Caenorhabditis elegans: one gene and its partner. The protein of the gene in region 1 purifies or fractionates together with the protein of each later gene. This does not show direct contact. Each region holds a gene or a part of one and is shown in the gene's direction. Other genes may lie near its edges.

What was found.
Region 2: the proteins of Y54E10A.17 (region 1) and cysl-1 fractionate together in Caenorhabditis elegans (co-fractionation; one large-scale study listed by BioGRID). This does not show direct contact.

What each region holds. Positions count from the first base shown.
Region 1 is NC_003279.8:3,204,822-3,210,937, forward strand, and holds Y54E10A.17 (DOMON domain-containing protein), read left to right. Parts: upstream 1-1,940; 5' UTR 1,941-1,982; coding exon 1,983-2,087; intron 2,088-3,169; coding exon 3,170-3,256; intron 3,257-3,312; coding exon 3,313-3,445; intron 3,446-4,129; coding exon 4,130-4,194; intron 4,195-4,283; coding exon of another isoform or gene 4,284-4,391; exon of another isoform or gene 4,392-4,958; coding exon 4,959-5,027; intron 5,028-5,267; coding exon 5,268-5,405; 3' UTR 5,406-5,451; downstream 5,452-6,116.
Region 2 is NC_003284.9:9,951,874-9,956,306, reverse strand, and holds cysl-1 (Cysteine synthase 1), read left to right. Parts: upstream 1-1,773; coding exon 1,774-1,876; intron 1,877-2,157; coding exon 2,158-2,246; intron 2,247-2,298; coding exon 2,299-2,427; intron 2,428-2,581; coding exon 2,582-3,065; intron 3,066-3,133; coding exon 3,134-3,242; intron 3,243-3,406; coding exon 3,407-3,518; 3' UTR 3,519-3,728; downstream 3,729-4,433.

The sequences.
Region 1 (6,116 bases):
ATTTTTGGAGATCACCCGTGATGGGACATCCTGACACCAATTTATAAATTGTACAAAAGTGAGTCATTAGTTGTTTCAATGCTCCATTGCTCTTCATTGAAACACCCCTAAAATCAACAATTTCTTTCTGTTTACCCCTGATGAACTAAATATGTCTCAACGATTTACTATAAATATCTCGATCCCAACTTTAAAATAATTTTTTTTTTCTTATCGGCAATTAGCCCGAAATAAAATATCCGGCAAATCGGCAAAAAATGACTAAAGGAACTTCGCCAAAGTCAGCGTCATCTTTTGATCAACCTATTTTTTTCCAATTCTTCCTTCTGCCAATGACCCTGAAACGTCACTTAATCATTTTTTTTCACCCACAATATGATAAGATCACTGCTACGGCGACCTGTTCATCCCCAAAACTGTTCTTTATTCTTTCTAAACGAATTTTGGTCGTGATCTCTGTAAGCCAGAGAAAAATGGAGAAGTAGGTCGTTTTCCTGGTTATTTTAAGCGGTTTATTTCTCAAAAAATTTCATTTAGTACACGTGGTGCCAGGCTGTCCCATAAAGGCTTGATCTACAAAAAATGCGGGAATTTTTTGCCCGGAAAAAAGTGACGTTAGCACATTCTTAACCATGCGAAATCAGTTGAGAACTCTGCGTCTCTTCTCCCACATATTTTGTAGATCTATGTAGATCAAACCGAAATGAGACACTCTGGCACCACGTGCGCGCGCAAATGAGGAAAGCGCTGACCAATCAGCGAATGACAAAATGTGCTGATTGGTCGGCGCAGCCTTGGTTTGCGCTCGAATTTAAAATAGAAAACCTAAATTTTTTCGATTTTCCAATATATTCCGAGAAAAAAAAAATTTTTTTCCTTTTCAAAATTCCTTTTTAGAATTAGAAAATTGTAAAATGTTCTGTTAATTTTTAAAACATTTTTTTCGAATTATTCCGATTTGCTGTTTTTTCGGCAAATTCGGCAAATCAGCAGTTTGTCAAAAATAAAAAAAATCAGTTCCAGCAATTTGCGGAATTGCCGATTTGCCGGAAATTTCGATTCTGGCAATTTGCCAATTTGCCGGAAATGCCGATTTGCCGGAAATTTGCCAGAAATGCCGATTTGCCAATTTGCCGGAAATGCCGATTTACCGGAAATTGTAATTCCGGCGATTTGCCGATTTGCCGGAATTTTCAATTCTGGCAATTTGCTGATTTGCCAGAAATTTGGGAAACGACAATTTACCGGAAATTTCAATTCCGGCAACTTGCCGAATTGCCGATTTGCCAAAAATTTCAATTCCGGCGATTTGCCAGAAATTTGTCAAATTCCCAATTTGCAGGAAATTCCGGAAACGACGATTTACCGGAAATTTCAATTCCGGCAATTTTCCGATTTGCTGTGAATTTGCCGAAAATGTTGATTCACCGATTGGCCGGAATTTTCGAATCCGGAAATTTGCCGCTTTTCCGGCAATTTTCCGATTTGCCGTTTTTCGGCAAATCGACAGTTTGCCAAAAATAAAAATAAAACAAATTTTAATTCCGGAAATTTGCCAATTTTTCTCCATCAATTTTTCCCGGTTTTTCGTTGTTAGTTTTTTTCGGGACTACTATAATAATCCCAAGTCAACTTTTTTCCTTCAGTTTCTTGATAAACGTCTTCATCTCTTCATCTATATTACAATTCACTCTCTCTTTCTCTCTTTCTCTCATATTCTAACACTATAATTCTCGAAACAAAAACTCGGGTCGTTTGGGGTCGAATCTGGTTTATCATTCGTCATTAATAGACGACTTATGTCTTCAATTGCTTCCTCATTTACAATATTTTCTTTCTTTTTCCTTTTTTCTCTCTCTCTTCAATCTTCTTCTATTTGTTTTCTTACTTTTCCTTCCATTATTTGCCAACAATCCCTGCCAACCAGTCCAAAACCCATCACCTCTCCTCATTTCTTAAACATATTTCCCCAATTTCAGAGAATGTTCGGCTTCTTGTTGGGTACACTTTGTGTTTCTCTAGCTATTCTTGGAGCACAATCAGCTAAATGCACAGCTAAAAGTGGAGATATTAGTGCTCGGTGGCAGGTGAGTCATTTTGTTTGAGCACAACTCAAGTGGTTTGTTTAAACTGATTCTTGGTGCCAATCGTTTTGAACAACTATTATGGGTACACAAAATTCTGAGAATGCGTACTGCGCAACATATTTCACGCGAAAAATATCAAAACTACAGTAATCCTTTAAGTGGCTACTGTAGCGCTTGTGTCGATTTACGGGCTCAATTTTTTAATTTATTGAAAAATGTAAATTATTGAAATGATGTAACTTTTCGAAAAAAAAAAATCATTTCGAAAATCGAGCCTGTAAATCGACCTACAGTAGTCATTTAAAGAATTACTGTAGTTTTGATATTTTGCGCGTCAAATATGTTGTGCAATACGCATTCTAAGAATTTTAGTGTTCCCTTAATATATTTATTGAAAAACTAGAAAAAAGAAAAAGGCATGAAACTTTAGGGAAACGTTAGAAAAACTGAAAATGTTTTTTTAAAAGAATTAATTAAAAATAAAATATACCTTAAAATGTGCTTTTTGAGAATAATATCGTTATTGTGATGTTTCAATGACATTGAAACAATTTTCATTTTATCTGAAAAAATTTTAAAAAATACTTTTTTTTGAAAAATTTCAAAACTTTTCAGTCAATTTTTTCGCCTAAAACAATGACCATCCTAACACTTTGGAGGTAATTTTTGATTTTTTCTGCAAAAAATCTGAAAGGCTACAAGAAACATTTTTTGAAATGTTGAAATTGTGAAATTTCAGAAAAAACTAAAACTTAGAAAAAAATTTCGACTGGAAATTTTAAGCCAAAAATTTTTTTTTCCTTAAAATGGCAGAAAATAACTGGTAGGTAGGCATGAAGTAGGCAGCTTTACCCTACCCCCCAAAAAATACGGTGGCCGAGTCTTTTTTTTTTCTCGGCCACACTCAAGGTCATTTTATCAGATTTTATCAGGCCAAAGTGAAAACTGCGCAAAAATATTAGGGTTTTTTTTTCTCTGAACAAATCTGGTTTCTGATATCAATACTAAATAGTTTGCAGGCCCTGTGTCTTGTGCAGTGATTCCTTGAAAAAAAAATTGCGCGTAAGATATAATGTTTTCAGGTTGTGGATGGAGAATTAACTGTCGAAGTTACCACAAAAAACGTTGGAAACAATGAATGGTCAGCAGTTGGATTTGGACCTGATATGGTATGTAATATTACTTTCCCCTACAAACTACAAAAACTACAAACTCCAATTTGCAGAGCGATCTAATCGTTGTCATTTTCCAAGTGGTAGACTTTAAGCCAAGCCTTGTGACTGGAACGACTCAGGGATACGGAGCACCTGCACTCGATGCTTCTCCATCTGTCACTCTTCAATCTCTCGATTATAACAGTGAGTTTAGTACGCCGTGGCCTAGAAAATCAAAAACTAGGCCAAGGTGTCTTTTTCTAGGCCATGCCTTGTCTTGTTCTGACCAAGATTATTACGGGGACACTTACTGTCGAGAATGCGTACTGTGCAACTTATTTGACGCGCAAAATATCTCGCAGCGAAAACTACAGTAATTGTTTATCTGACTACTGTAGCGCTTTTGTCGATTTACAGGATCTCGATTTTTTTTTGTCATTTTTATGCTTAATTTTAAAATTCTATCGATCGATCCATTCAAAAATCGAGTTCCCGTAAATCGACAAAAGCGCTACAGTAGTCGGATAAACAATTACTGTAGTTTTCGCTACGAGATATTTTGCGCGTCAAATATGTTACGCAATACGCATTTTCGAAATTTAGTGTTCCAGTAATACCTTTAATTTAAAACTGTCGGCGGCAATACATCAAATTTAACGCGCAATTTTTTTTTAATTTCATCCGCCAATTTAAATTTGCGCGTAGAATCTGATGTATTGAATCGTTATCGCCAAAATGTACAAACACCGGCTACAATGCATCAAATTTCACGCGCAAAACTTCAATATTTGAATTTGCGCGTAAATTCTGATGTATCAGGTCATAGCTGTCTCTTCACTCCAAAACACCATATTTCACGCGCAAATTTATTATCAAATTATGTTTCAGGCAACACCCTCGTGGCTCGATTTGCTCGCCCAGTTGGCTCCCTCTCCACATGCACAACATGGAATGTAAGTTGACAAAAAATATCACTTCCCCCCCCCCCCCCCCACTTCTACCGTAACCTGTCCACCTACCTCCTCATAACACCCTGTTACAGTTCGTCACCGAAGGATCCATCGAAGACGGATCAATTGGATATCACAATGCTGCTCCACACACTGTGGAAATTTGTGCCAACAAGTGTACCCGCAAGATCTTTAACTAACTTCTTTCTCTCTTTTGCTCACTCCATTTTTATAATAATTTGGGATTCTGTTTTTGCTTGGAAAAATAAAAATAAACCTATGGCTTTGCTATCCAGGAACTCTCGGGTATACCAGAAATGCAAGAGTGCTCTACTGACAAGTGTTCTGTGTAATCCACGTGGAGAAAAATAGAAAAAAAACCCACAAAAATGACGATTTTGATTTTTAAAAAATTTCGGAAACACGGGGTTCTGGCCTTCCTCATTGAATTTTTCGCCCTCCATTGACAATCCTGCCGGACAACGCGTGGGAAAGCCGTGTACTCCACACGGACAAATACATTTAGTTTTACAACTAAAACCGAGCCGCGACGCGACACGCAACGCGCCGTAAATCTACCCCAGATATGGCCGAGCCAAAATGGCCTAGTTCGGCAAACTCTTCCATTTCAATTTATGAGGGAAGCCAGAAATCCGTAACGGAAACTCTGAAAAATTCGATTTTCCCGCCAAAAAAACTTGCGTGTGAAATCCGATGTATTAACTCCGCCCCTCTCAATGCACCATACTTTACGCGCAAGTTTTCAGTTCTTCAACGCCCAGCCATTAAATGGACCATCTGTGTCGAACCTCGGCAGCCCGGAAATTCAATTGACGGTATTAAAATTTTCATTTCACACGTGGTGTCAGAGTGTCTCATTTCGGCTTGATCTACTTAGATCTACGAAAAATGCGGGAACAGAGACGCAGAGTTCTCAACTGATTTCGCATGGTTAAGAACGTGCTGACGTCACATATATTTGGGCGAAAAATTCCCGCATTTTTTGTAGATCAAACCGTGTTAGGGCAGCCTGGCACCACGTGATTTTAACATTATTTGACATGATTTTCTTACAGGACGTGTGCCCGAATGAGTGTACAGGAGTATTTACGGAACGCGACGTGGCATATGATCCAGTACCACAGGCTGCCATATATAATAATAGAATTTCGAATCGATTCAACGGAATTTTTGATCCATCGGCTGCTTTTTAAAAATAACTTTTTTTCTTCTTGATCTCGTCAATAAATGTTTTATTTTTATTAAATTCGATATTTTTTTCAGAAATTGGAGGTTAAAAAAACTTTTTTCTAAAATTTTTAAATAATTTATCGCTTTTTCTTATATAAAACTTAATTTAAATGGTCATTTTATTAATATATTCGCAAATTCAGATAAACTATTTTCAAATTTCGCGGTCTGTGCATTTTGACGTGATGGTGTTGACGTACAGGTTACTGTAGTCACTTTTCTTCGTGGGTGGTCTTGGACCACCGATATTTTAGGCCAATCATCGATTTTTTTCGCATTTTTTGAGAATAATTTGATTTTTTTTTCAAATTAAATTAGTTTTAAAATTGAAATTTCAATTTTAATATATAAAATTCTTAATTTTTCATCTGGAAAATGAGAAAATTAGTTATCTTCGTGTGTGGTCTTGGGCCACCGAAGTTTAGGCCAATCAGCGGATTTTTAAATTTTTCGTGTTATTTTTTACATTTGTGTAAATATTGATTAATTATTTATTAAAATAATTTTGAAATTAAAATTCCAACTCTAAAATATGAAATTGTTAATTTTTCGACAAGAAAATGATTTTTCTTCATGGGCGGTCTCATTTCCACCAATTTTCTTTCCTTCTTATATGAATTATAATTTGCGAAAAAGTTAAACTCTCTTTTTAAATTAAGTGTTATTAAATCAAT
Region 2 (4,433 bases), on another chromosome or scaffold:
TAGATTTTCATCTTTTGATCTCTACATCTTAACTGAGAAGTAGTCCCAGTGGTCAAAGTATATATGAATGAAACAGCATGCGTGTGGAAATTGTTATTCAATTCATCGTTGTAATTTCATCAACAAAGAAATTAACAAAAATTGTCTCTGTTACCGCTTTTTAATTTATTTATCAACCTTGGTAGGTCTCCACAATCCAGTTTTGTTCTTTTCTTTTTATCGTTTGTGTTTTATATCTTTTTGCAAAAGATATAGAGATAAATGCATGCTCGACAGTATAATTCTTATATTCAACGTTTCTGGACGACGTGGGAATTTTCCCATGCTACTGATGAAGTCTGAAGTGCATAGAAGAAATAGCACGAGTGACCTTTTGCTTTCTGGACATTATTGCATGCAAACTACTACTTTTTGCTTACTTCACACTATTTCGACACTACTATTATTGGTTTTCTCAATCATCAAATGTGTTTTCAAAGAATTTTGAAACATATCCAGATAGAAACTGTAAAAAGGTCTAATGCTCTTTAAGAACTGCCGTTTTAAAATGATCAAAGTTTACTTTTTGAAGTAAATTCTGAAAACGCCTCGCGATATCGTGTAATTTGATCGTTTGTTCATTATATTTTTTATTAAGAAAACTCCCCATCACCTCCTATTTCATCCTTCTCGGAGTTTTCTTAGAAGAAAAAGAAAATGGAAAAAGCGTGTGAATGTTTCTATTAGATGACAGGAGATCCATTTTTTACATCCTTCAATTTTTGCAACAAGATTCCACTTCAAAGAATGAAATGTTTCATTAATAAGTGCAGTTTCAAAAGATCAAAATAATACCAGCCGGTTAGTTGTTGCATTTGCTATTTTTACAAAACAAGAACACTAAGTATATATCGAAACGTGCAAGTACTTTTCATTGGTTTAATCCGGTGAGTGGGGCGTTTTCGTGTTTTGTTTAACTCATGACTCATAAAGGTTATTCAGGATAAACTATTCCTAATTACCTATAATAGATGTACATGTAAATGCTTTTCCATGTTTGGAGTTTATCGTGCTTGATCTAGAAAATAACAATTTTTTGAAATAACTCTGTCTGAGTTCCTAAAAAGTTTAATTTATACTTTCGGGAAAAATACGAAGTGGTTTACCTTTTATCATCAAAAATGTCCCAGTTTCTAATAAATGGATATCATCTCTTCTTTTCCCATTGTAAATTTTCCAGCTCACCGACATTTGCATAATGCAATTATGTCATACTGAGCGGTTATTGTTGTTTTATTATCTTATCGTGGATTCATTCTCTCCTTACTTGCTCACTTCATTTTTATAAATCTGTCTCGTTGCAGCTGCTCTATAAGATACAACAACGGGATATTCTTCTATCTCTTGCTCGTTGTGTTGCGTGTTCTGTTTGTTTCCTCATTGCTTCCTTAGAATGTTCATTCAATGGCTCATTAGATGTGTGCCAACCTTTAAGAAATGCCAGCTGATTGTGCATTCGTTCCGCTACACAACATGTACTTAGACATGTGTCGTCTATCTCTCCCTATCTTATAACATTTTCTTTATCTCCTTATCTCCTTCTGTTTAAAAGTCCAACTATCATTTGGAGTTTGGTGTCAAAACCAGCAGAAACAGATGATAGAAAAATATTTTGTTTCCGTGCCAATAGTCATTGATAGTTTAAAATATTTCTTTCCTGTGATATAGTTTTCCCTTTTCTGCGTTCTCTCGTTATTGTCTACACTCTCATTTAACTCATAGTCGATGTTTCAGATGGCTGATCGCAACTCTATTGGCGAAAATGCTGCCGCGCTTATTGGCAACACACCCATGGTGTACATCAATAAATTGACAAAAGGACTTCCAGGGACAGTTGGTTGGTTTATTCATTTGAATTAAACGAAATCTTAAAAAATGTTTTGAACAATACTGGTGAAACTTTGAATTTTTTTGTTTCTTTTATGCAATACCACTGTAACCGAGTTTTGTAACTTCTCAACAAAATATAACTTTGACAAATAGTCTCACTTAAAAGAAAGTACGAAAAATAGTAAAACCAGAACGTAGATAAAATTGAATTTTACAAATCAAAAATGTTTTGAATTTTCAAGAAGAAACAAAAGTCCAATTATCCTATTATAATTTTCAAGTTTACAGCTGTAAAAATCGAATACATGAATCCAGCGGGATCGGTCAAAGATCGTATTGGAGCGGCAATGCTTGCAGCGGCCGAAAAAGATGGAACGGTGCTTCATCAACAATACCATTGTTCAAAAAATTGCATTAAAATTTTTTAAGGTGATCCCGGGAGTGACCACGCTCATTGAGCCAACATCAGGAAACACTGGAATCGCATTGGCTTTTGTTGCTGCCGCCAAGGGGTATAGATGTATTGTCACAATGCCAGCATCTATGAGTGGAGAACGCGTGAGTATTGATCTTATGGATGCAAATCTTCACCCCAGGAATTGCCAGTACTGAAACCTTTTTTTTTAGCTATTGAGTACAGTTGTGTCATCTGTGATTTTAAACAAATCTCCGGGTTGAAAATTTTTTAACATATAAAATATATATCTTACAGAGAACTCTTCTCAAAGCATATGGATCCGAGGTGGTCTTGACAGACCCAGCGAAAGGAATGAAAGGAGCGATTGACATGGCTAACCAGCTGAAGGAAAACATTCCAGGGTCTATCATTCTTGCTCAATTTGACAACCCAAATAATCCACTTGTTCACTATCAAACAACTGGACCAGAAATTTGGAGACAAACCAAAGGGACAGTAGACGCTGTTGTTTTTGGGGTTGGAACTGGTGGAACAATTACCGGAGTTGGCAGATACTTGCAAGAGCAGAATCCAGGTGTCCGCGTGTTTGCTGTGGAGCCAGAAGAATCCGCTATACTCAGCGGCAGACCAGCCGGTCCACACAAAATTCAAGGCATTGGAGCAGGGTTTGCTCCAGCTGTTTTGGACACAAAGATCTATGAAGACGTAATTCGAATTCATTCCGATGAGGCTATTGTCATGGCTCAAAGACTTTCCTATGAAGAAGGTCTTCTTGGCGGTAGGTTGTGTGACTGTGTTTGCTTTGATAGTTTGAAAGAAGTATGTTTTTAAAATTCTATATTTTAGGAATTTCCTCCGGAGCTAATGTTGCAGCTGCACTTCAGTTGGCTGCTCGCCCAGAAATGGCTGGAAAGCTCATTGTGACTTGTTTGCCAAGCTGTGGAGAACGATACATGTAAGATGACTGACTTAAAATGTTACTTGTGATGTGAGCTAGTAGTTTGCATCTGATTCCTCGGATGTTGAGTATTTCTGATAGAAAGTTAAACAACTATTGAATCTTTAACGTAGTAATCATGTACAATTTACTGTGATTGATCTTAAAAACCATTTTTCCAGGACCTCTCCTTTGTACACCGACATCCGCGAAAGCGCTATGGCTCTGGCAGTCGAAAGCTTGGAGGCAAACTTGAAGAAGTTATGTCTTCACAACTATGATATTATGGAGTGATTTAAATCAAAAATTCATCTCACTTTTTTCTTTTTTCTTTCATTTAAATTCTTTCACCCAAAAATTATCAAGGTTGTTACTCACTAAAAATGATAAATCGGCTGGTAATTCAATCAAAAAACCTACACATTATAATAATTTGCATTCTTTCGTATTTTTTCCATGTAAATGTTCCGCTGTCTATTTTTTCAATAAATGCAATTAGTGTTTTGTACTGTGATCTAAGATAGCTTGTATGCTTTGAACCCGCAGACACTAAGATTGGTGTTGAACTGACGAAACTGGGAGGATAACCGACTTTTTTAAAAACAATTAAACCATTAGCACAGTGAGGCATGAAATAGGCTTGTCGATGTCTCATGAAAAGGTCAGTGCAGATAGAAACACTGACCCTAATAAGGAGGAATGAAACCTGGTTTGGCTAATCGCCAGAAAAATTCTTTCACCGATAGTGGTGGCCAACGAGACAAACGCTGCATGTGGTTTCAAGCGAGAAGTTCAATTTAATTAGTAGTATGGATATTTAACGCGATCTTTATCAAATCGGAAAACTATACCACGGAGGTCTGGTTTGATGGTTTCACTATGAAATTATTTGAGCGGAAAGTTCACAGTTTTCTAGCTGACTCCTTTGAACATGTTCAGTTGAATTGACATAAACTTAAATGGTTCACGTACCCATCTTTTTGGAAAAGAGTAATGGAAAAGTTCTAGTAGCATATTTGCGAAATTAAAACAATCCTAATAAGGGCTACTGAATGATATTTCTGGTAATTTAAAAAGTTGAGAGCAACTGTATAAACCTTAAAAACAAACACTGGCATAGCGCAAATATTGTAGGAGGCAAGTCGTAAAAAGGGTTTCCTGTGATACTACAGTTTTACCACTACAAATTTTTTTCAAAAATTATTTTTC